Linked DNA regions of Caenorhabditis elegans. The protein of the gene in region 1 interacts with the protein of each later gene in a pairwise test. Each region holds a gene or a part of one and is shown in the gene's direction. Other genes may lie near its edges.

What was found.
Region 2: the proteins of cdd-1 (region 1) and T23G5.3 interact in a two-hybrid assay, tested with the Caenorhabditis elegans proteins (one large-scale study listed by BioGRID).

The regions. Positions count from the first base shown.
Region 1 is NC_003284.9:8,208,101-8,212,968, reverse strand, and holds cdd-1 (Cytidine deaminase), read left to right. Parts: upstream 1-1,819; 5' UTR 1,820-2,173; coding exon 2,174-2,256; intron 2,257-2,302; coding exon 2,303-2,367; intron 2,368-2,482; coding exon 2,483-2,587; intron 2,588-3,596; coding exon 3,597-3,670; intron 3,671-3,999; coding exon 4,000-4,149; 3' UTR 4,150-4,221; downstream 4,222-4,868.
Region 2 is NC_003281.10:9,228,309-9,232,977, reverse strand, and holds T23G5.3 (uncharacterized protein), read left to right. Parts: upstream 1-1,704; 5' UTR 1,705-1,767; coding exon 1,768-1,902; intron 1,903-2,914; coding exon 2,915-3,042; intron 3,043-3,091; coding exon 3,092-3,394; intron 3,395-3,447; coding exon 3,448-3,562; intron 3,563-3,635; coding exon 3,636-3,743; 3' UTR 3,744-3,976; downstream 3,977-4,669. Other genes in the region: CRAL-TRIO domain-containing protein T23G5.2, read left to right, coding at 5-343, 397-597, 646-794, 1,144-1,240.

The DNA.
Region 1 (4,868 bases):
CAATTAAAACAAATGATGAGCCGTTTCGTTCAGTTTCCTGTAGAGGGCTGGCTGTTTTCTTAGCAATAAGCCAAAAAAAAACGTTCGTAAACGTAAAAACGTAAGTTCGCGTTTCGATTGAGTAACCATTATTCGATTATCATAAATTTTAAAAAGTTGTTTTTAAATCCTGCGAAGAACTTCTTCTATTTTTTTACAAACCACAAGAATTCAATCTAAAATTTAATGTACTAAAATAATATTTTAAAAGCTCATTTTGTCTTCAGAATTTGATATACTTAAGAATATGATAAGAGTTGTCAGCAAAAAAAACTTCGGTATTTGGAATTCATTGTCATTTTTATCCTAGATCTTTACCCACAGAGAGTTCTTGTATTGCAGATGTATTCTATAGCTGATCAGACAAAGTAGCAATACATAATATAGTTGCTTGATGTTTCCACCCACCATTACTTTTGGAATTGACAAAAGCTGACAACTTTTCTTGTATATAATGAGGCAAATGATCAAAAAAGTTTGGTCTCTTGAAATGTAGGCATTGTCTGTTACATGATTTAAAAGATCACACACTTGTGTGATGATAGCAAAGTTCAAAAAAAGAGAGTCTCGTGAGTGGATTTCAAGCTATTTTCGGTTACCCGCACATTTTTGCTGCAAACAATTCACAAGACATTTGAGTTCAAAATCATTCTGAGAATACTCTGAGAATCGCTATTGGACTTTTAAAATATGTTTTAAAAACAAAAAAAAAGTTGATAGGCATACTTTGAATTAGGCAATTGTTCAAAATAAGATGCTGAGCTATTCCACCGCAGTAGTCGTCAAATATAAACGAGATATAGGGATTTTTTAAAAATATTTTTGAGGAAGTTCAGTAGTTATATTTTGAGGAAGTTCAGTTAGTGAAGCAGTATAAAGTAAACATAAATAAAGTCAGTTTTTCGCTCAGTGTACAGTGTATGAATCACATTAATTGTGAAGAAAAACAATTTCAGTCAACAAAAAATGCCAGAACCGCCACATCAATGAGTTGTTTTGTCACTTTTGTCTTTCAAGAAATACTCCCTTATATACACATATTCTTTGTTCTTATAAAGATGCTTGAGATACATTTCTTAAAAGGTTTTATTTATTTCGGCTGGTTTTAAGAAGAGCATTTGTGGTTCAAAATATGAATTTTTCTAAAAGTAGTGAAATCATATTTGAAATACTTTGAAGTTTTTATTAACATTTGAAACAGCTATTAGCATTTCTAGAGACACAAATGAGGAATTTTTGTAAATGTGATGGAAGAAACTGTTGAAATGATTCATAGTTCAAAATTTAGTTTCAACTGTAAAAATTAAAAACTATTTTTAAACGGCCGTTTAAAAAAAATTGCTAATTTTTATTCAAATAGAATATCGAAGAGCAATTCGTTTGTCGCATTTTGTTATCTATTCTCTTGCAAATGAATCTTTGCAAATAGATTTCTCATCACTCTTATAATCCCATATATTGTTTAAAATTGAAGCACTATTGGCACCAATCGTTATCAAAACTTTCATAGTAATCGTTAAGGCTGAAGTTTGTAGGCAATGCATAGTTTCTACAAAGCCCATGAACATCACTTTCAATTTAATGGACCAGTTGAAAATGAAATGATAAATTCGACCGAATTTTCTAGAATCGTCTGAATGTGGCGTACGTCAGTGAACCAAGTCGTAAAACGACGCGGGTTTGCCATCCTATTCCTTATTTCTTATCATTATCACTCCTCGTGGCCCACTGTTATCAATCATCGGGAAATGTATAAAAAACCCCCACATACTCACTCTTTCCCCATTCACAGTACATTTAGAAAGGCAAAGTTCTTACAGGAATGGTGAATGGGGAAATGTAATTAAAAATTTTAATTTTTACGTCTGTTCTTGATACTTATTTTGATTTGTCCTTGGATGGAATATTTTATAACATAAGTTGAAGTTTGTACAAATTTCGAAGACGGTTAGAAAGCAAAGTTCTCCATGCAACGAAAAATTGGAGCAAATATTGACTATCCGATTCATTTGCTTTATTTAGTTTTCACATCCTAACTAACCACGTGCGAATTGAATCTACTGTTTGCAAGCTTCTTTTTCTTAGTTTAGCCAAAATTTTCAACAATAGTTTTAAGTTTTAAAAAATTTACAGAATGACTACAACAAAGGCAAACCTTACCGAGTTTGAGCAGCAACTTGTTGATAAAGCAATTGGAGCAATGGAGAATGCTTACTGGTATTTCAAAAAAGCACGGTAAATGTTTTACAAAAAACATTTTTAGCAAGTATAGCAACTTCAAAGTTGGAGCTGCGCTGGTGTGTGACGACGGAGAAATTATCATAGGAGGTGGGTGGAGACTATGATTTTCGTCCTTGTCTGATTCATTAGTAAATGTGAGAACTTGAAAGTGCAACATTTACATCCGATTACTAACTATTCACAATCATTCGAGTATTTTCAGCTAACCATGAGAATGCGTCATACGGAGCAACGATTTGTGCAGAGAGAAGCGCAATAGTTACCGCCTTGACCAAGGGACACAGAAAATTTAAGTACATTGTTGTTGGTGAGTTGAAAAAAAGGTTCTAACGTTTTTAAAGTATTCATACTACATTATATAAGATACGCAGTTGAAAATTGAAACTCAGAATTTACAAATTCTGTTAAAAATGAAACTTGATAGTACACCTACTCATCTTCATGTCATAAATGATCTTACGAACTTTGAAGAGTAATGAACAATTTTAAACGGGTTTTAAAAAGCTCCTGTTTTGAGAATATCTGTCTGACACTAATAATAAAAATATCTTATTTCTTTTTTCATTTTGAAAATGACATCCCAAAACAGTATATCATATTTTGAGTAAACCTCAAATATCAAAATTATGTTATATTATTGCGAAAATAATAGATTTTAAAATAGTTTAAATGTTCAATTACAATTTGAAGTTGACATTCTTAAATGTAGTGTGGGTGGAATTCCATATTTTGAAGACAGACAGACTCATATTTCCGAAATCCCGATAGTTGCATAAATTGAGACAAATAATACATCATGATGAAAATTTGAAACGCACTTCAAATCGAAATGAAGGTTGTTTGTAAATGTTCTGACTTCATTTTTATATAAAAAAAAAATCAAAGACATAATGAAAACTAAAATTGATGGTTTGCTGGGTTTGTAAAAAATTAAATTCATATGAATGTACTAACTCAAAAATTAAAAACTAAAATTAATAGCAAAATATAATTTTTGAAGGGTTTCACGTGAAAATTTTTTAGTTCAAGAACAAGAAACTTCTCCGAATACAGTGTCAATCATGAAACGATCAATTTTTTTAAACTTAGTCATTTCAAAGTTCCAGTCTCGACAATAGAATGCGATTTAAAAAAAATAGAGAGAGAGTTTTGTATACCAGGCTGATCAAAAATACATTTAGTGAAAAATTGTAATTGTTTCACAGTAGGAAGATACATTCACAATATGAGGCAGAACTCTTTAAATATCACACAATTGAACTTTAAAACAGCTAAACGTCGTAACTAAATTTGAACTAAATTTTTAATGTTTTTAGCAACCGAACTAGAGGCTCCCTGCTCGCCATGTGGAGTATGCCGACAGGTCCTTATCGAATTTGGAGACTACAAGGTTGGTTAGAAATATTTCAAAATTTAATATGCATAACAAAATTTAATATGCATAACTAAACTATGCTGATTCTTTTTTTCATAGTTTTCAAATTTATGCTCGCTATTATAAAATTATGTGAGCAATTATATTTGAAGAAAGCCTTGCATATTCTCTGAAAACAAAGTAAAAAATGGAGGAAAAATACGAATGAAAAAGTCATAATGAGTGTTTTCCCTTCAACCTGCAAGAGTCTACTCCATTTCCACTATTCGTTTCGTTTATTTCCAGATGAATTGTTTTCTGGACCACCCACGTCTTCGGTTTCAAATGTCATTTTTCTTGTTCAGGTCATTCTCGGGTCTTCGACTAGTGATCAAATTATCGAGACTACAACATACGAGCTTCTGCCATATGCATTCACTCCAAAATCACTCGATGATCATGAAAAGGAGACTGAAGAGCGCAAACATCACAATGATCACAACAATAAGGAATAGGGAAAATTTTCAGAAATTCATAAATGTTATGAACACAGTAATTTCTATTAATAAAACATGGTTGTTGAATATATTTCTGGTTTGACTTTTTCCAAAAAATACTGGATACACTTAATAACAAACTTCAAAACTTTACCGAGTTCAGAAAGTTTGGCAAATGTAAATTTTCTATTATAATTCAATGTTAAAAGACTTGCATTTGAAGGCAGTTTTAGCTATATATTATATAATTTTTGTAACTGTTTTTCGAAGCCGGGCACTATTTTGGTTTCACACTGTGTACCAATGGGTTCCCTTTAAATATTTCCATGACGTTCAGAAGAAACAGCAAGCCTTATGTCATTTTAATGAAGTTCCAAAAAAAATTGTCATGATCCATTATTTTGCGTCAAATTTGAAAATGAACTTGCTCATGCCCTTACTTTGGAAATATGCAGTTCTCGGAAACTTTAATCATTTGCAGCTTACTACCCATAAATTATTTTCTACAAAATGATTGAGATGACATTTATACTTTTTTTAGTTGCGAAATATACAAAACCGTCTAAAAGTGTTTAGTCACAGAATCATCTTCATACGATGTTCACCTATATTTATAATTTTTTTTTAATGTGATATATAATTTTAAAAGTTGTTTTGTTTTACAGAACAAACTACGATTAGATACGGCCAAAAATTATAATTTTACCTTTTCCCAGATTTTTTTTATTGTTAGTACT
Region 2 (4,669 bases), on another chromosome or scaffold:
TCAGAAGTTTATGGTCAGTGGTGGAAGCGGAGGTGATTTGAAAGAAGAACTCCGAAAACATATTGAAGAAAAGTTCATTCCTGACTTTTTGGGTGGATCCTGCCTCACAACAAATTGTGGACTTGGTGGACACGTTCCAAAATCGATGTACCTTCCAGTTGAAGAGCAAGAAGGTGCCAGCTCATCTGAAGATCCTCTTCATTCCACCTACACAAGTACTGCAACCTGGAGAGGATACCCAGTGGAAGTTGTCATTCCTATTGAGACAGCTGGCTGCGTGCTTACATGGGATTTCGATGTGCTTAAGAATGATTGTGAATTCAGTCTGTACTTTTCGACTGAGGTAAATCTACATTATTTATCATTCTCAATAATTAAACGTTTAAATTTTTCTAGAAAATCGAGCAACCAGCAGTCCGTGATGGAGCTCAATCACCAACAACCATTCTCAATCCAGTTGAGATGGTATCTGCAGCAATCGGAGGAGCATCTCATCAACATCCCGATCTTCAGTGTGCTCCTGAACTTAAAATTGGAACACCACAGCTACGTCTAGAGGAAAAGGCAGTTGTATTCCAGGAAGGAGATTCTATGCAGGTACTCTTAAAAAATATAAAAAATACATTTAAAAATGGTATTTTTTAGGGTTCCCACTATTGCTCACGAGCTGGTACATATATCATGCAATGGAGAGTCCCTGAAACTGCAGCCGGCCACTCATCAACCTTTGACTTTGGTTCTCACAAATGTCGTCTCATCTACTATTACGAGATTTTAAACTCTGAAAATTTCCGGTAAATTCTTTACACATTTATTACAGTTGATATTATGGAGACTCGAAATTTTGCGATTTTTGCGCTTAGAATACGGTAGCCGGTCTCGACACGACAATTTTGTTAAATACAAACGGGCGCGCCTTTAAATAGTACTGTATCTTGAAACTTTCGTTTCGGCGGAATTTAAGCAAAGAAAGTTTGAAATTACAGTACTCTTTCAAAGCGCACATTCTTTTTTATTTAGCAAAACACTTTCGCGTCGAGACCGGGCACCATATTCTAGGCACACAAATTCGCAAAATTTTTGCGTCTACATAAAACGTAAACTATCCATTACAGTAGCCTTATTAATGCAATTTGTTTTCAGAGGATCCGTTGCCTCCCTCGAATCTTGCCGTTCATCATCGTTCAGTTCAATTGCTCCACCAACGCCACCAACTCCAGGAACTCCCCGCAATCCATAAACATCATTTGTAAAATTCAAAATTTTATCCGACCCTACTCGTATTCTTGTGATTCGTTTTCCTTTCTTCTGTACTACTTCCCATTCTGTCTCTTCTTTTCTTCTGCTTTCAAACATGCAAACACCAAATTCCTTATTATTTCCTTTTTCTTCGTCTACAGTCCCAAACACGGTTTTTCTCATTGTCTCCATTTCTATCATATTCCTTCATTTTACTACTTTTTTGATGTAATTTATTATTAATTTCGAACTTTTCCTCTCTTAGTTCACTCTTCATCCATCAAATGCCGAGCAATTGAGTATAAAGAAGTTTTGTACAAGCCAAAACGAGTGAGGCAAAGGCAAAAGAACAATGATTTTCACACCCCAACACAAACATAATCTACACTCCAATATTATATATTGGACAAATAGCGCCCACTCCAAGAATGGAAATTGAGCTGGTATTATTTGTTAGTCGCTTTCGGTAGAATACCTCTACCACTTTTTGAATTCGCGCGCACCTTTTAAGTGGTTAATTTCTCTCTAATGCCACCTCCACCATTAATATCGCTTGATGTTGAAGGTGTATATTTTAAGACAAGGATAGCTACTTTGAAATCTATAGAAGGAACTTATTTTACTAAATTATTCGAAACTAATTGGAGGGAGCAGCTTGATAGAGTAAGTCTAAAAAAAAAGTTGTAACTTACAAAGTTTAAAGCATTTGGTAAATTGCCAAACTTCTTAGAATTTTAGAGCATTGCTGCAGGTCCCTAACCTCCTAGAATGTCCAAACACAAATGATTATTGCCATGTTGTTGAATTTTGTGATTACTGGCGCAAAAATACGGTGCCGGGTCTCGACACGAAACTTTGCAGCTACCGTACTCACAGGAACTTCGCAATTTGCTACGATTATTCATGATTTTTAATACAAAATCTTCAAATTTTGTTCCGGAAAACGCCTACTATCAAACAAAAAAAATCGTGGAAAATTGTGAAACACTTTCGGTTACTGTAGCTGTAAAGTTTCGATAGTTTTGAGACCAGGTACGGTATCCAAGCCTCAAAAATCGCAAAAATTCAAGAATGGGTAATAAGCATATACTGTCAATAAAAATATCATAATGCTAAATTTTGCGCTAACAGTACGGTACTTTGTCTCGGAGCGGCAATTTTTTTTAATTGAAAAGGGTGTGCGTCTTCAAAAAGTACTGTAATTTTATTACATTACTCTTTAAAGGCGCACATTCGTTTCGTATTGTCGAGACCTTTACGCTTGTCGAGACCAGGTACCGTATTTTTAGAATTAAAAACCGCATAAACTGCTCTGAACACATCAGTTATAAAATATATTAACACTCCATTAAATAGAATAAAACCTCATTTGGTCAACTAACCTTCCCCAAGATTCCCAATGCCTTGTGTTAAATACTCTGCGTATATGTCTACGTCATCAAACATCTGCAGGCCCATTGAATCATTCAAATAATTTTCCACCACCACCCGTTGCCATACTTTTCACCCGACACCACAACCACTAACACCATTCCCTTGACCTCCTCCTGGTGTGACGTAGCGCACTGTTCAAAAGCAATGACCAACTGGTTGTTGGGTGCCTGTGACGTCAATTTGTGACGTAGGCAAGAATGGGGGTTACGGTAGATTGGGAAAATTTGAATGCTTATTTCAGGATGGTAGACTCTTCATCGACCGTGATTCTTCAGTATTTCCGGTTATTCTCAACTTTCTAAGAGATCATGAGAAATGTTCATTGCCAAAAGACGAATATCAGCTTATGCGAATCTTACGTGAAGCGGTGTAAGTTCGGAACAAATCAGAATATTGCAAAAAGTATAAATCATTATAGATTTTTCAAAATTGGACCACTTCGAAACATGATAGAACATAAGCTGCGAACATTTTGTACTTGCCCACCTGAACTTCCATCAACTCCAATACCGAACCAAATCTTGACCCAAAAAGAAAATGTTCCGATTGTCCCACGTAATCTTCTTCTTTCGAAACCACCTCCACCTCCACCACCACCACTTCCGTCATTGATGCAGCCGAAGGATACTGTACAAATTCCGATGAGAAAACCTCCAACTGGCAGAAATTCCAAAAAAATTAAAACGTCTGCAGATTCGATTAGTCTTCCAAGGAACTTTACGTGAGATTTGGATATCTTTTATCTATTAATTACTTACAAAAGTTTATTTTCAGACATATTGCACATGTTGGTTGGAATGGTGCATCGGTACTTTTTGATAAGAAAATGACTGATGATCCGACTGTGAGGAAAATCTGTGATGCTGCTGCAGAGGCAGTTGATCTTAGTGTGAGTAACTTTCTTGAAAATTAGTAGAATATCTATAGAATTATAAAATTAAAATTCATTTATCTATTTTCAGGCGGTATACAATGTTGTCAACAAAAATGCGGATGAGGAGAGCCATAGCGTGGAAGTGCTCATAACTGGAGGATTAATGCAGTCAAGAGATGGAACATCTCGTCACTAACCATTTGAATATATCTGTGTCAAAATAAATTATTTATGTCATGTCTTGCATGCCAACAGATACGCGTTTTTCGAATTTTCGAAAATTCGCAATCACAGCTGGTGGTTTTTTATTGTCTGAATTGACCGACAGCAAATTTTAGTGATCTCTGACAAAACATCAGAAAATAAAAAACTACGCTTTTTTGTCCGCAGTTTGAAAATTTAAGGAAAAACTGAATATAAATATTATTTCATCGAAACATGTTTTTTTCTTTAAAAAATTACCGTACTCTTTCAAAGGCGCACGCATAAAGTTTTTAAATACAATATTTCGTGTCGAGACCATTACAGTAACCCGCGGCAAAATTGTGTTTTACAGCTTTTATTTTCGGGGTTTCTTCTGATCTTATGCATTTTTATGTGGTTTTATTTTGAATTTTACGTTTTTTTTTAAATTTCAGAGCAATGAAATGCGATTATCGGACTTGTCCTAAAGGGCGGAGCCATGGTTAGAGGCGGTGCTTGTGGTGCCGAAGGGTATAAATAGATTTTTTCCTCACACAGAAAACTAAACACATTTTTTGTTTAAATGAAATTCTTCAGCTGTGAATTAATATTTCATTTCAAACTGCCGTAGTTAGAAATGCTCAGGACCGTGGATTTTCGGTTTGAATTTCTAGGCCAATTTTGTGTGTTTCGACATTAGCTCACTTCTATCAGAAAACCATATTGAAGCCAGAATTCGTAGGAAAATATAATGTATTCTGTTTCACTGTAATACTTGTTTTTTCTATGAGACCAAGATTTCAATAATTCGTTTTCCTTTTGAATTTGAATTCCGATGGAGCGCGTTTGTTTGGTCTGCGTCTCGTTTTCGCGCGTTCCTCTATTACCTAGGCGCGAAAACTAGTAAATTTGAGATGAACTGGTCATTTGAAAATTCTC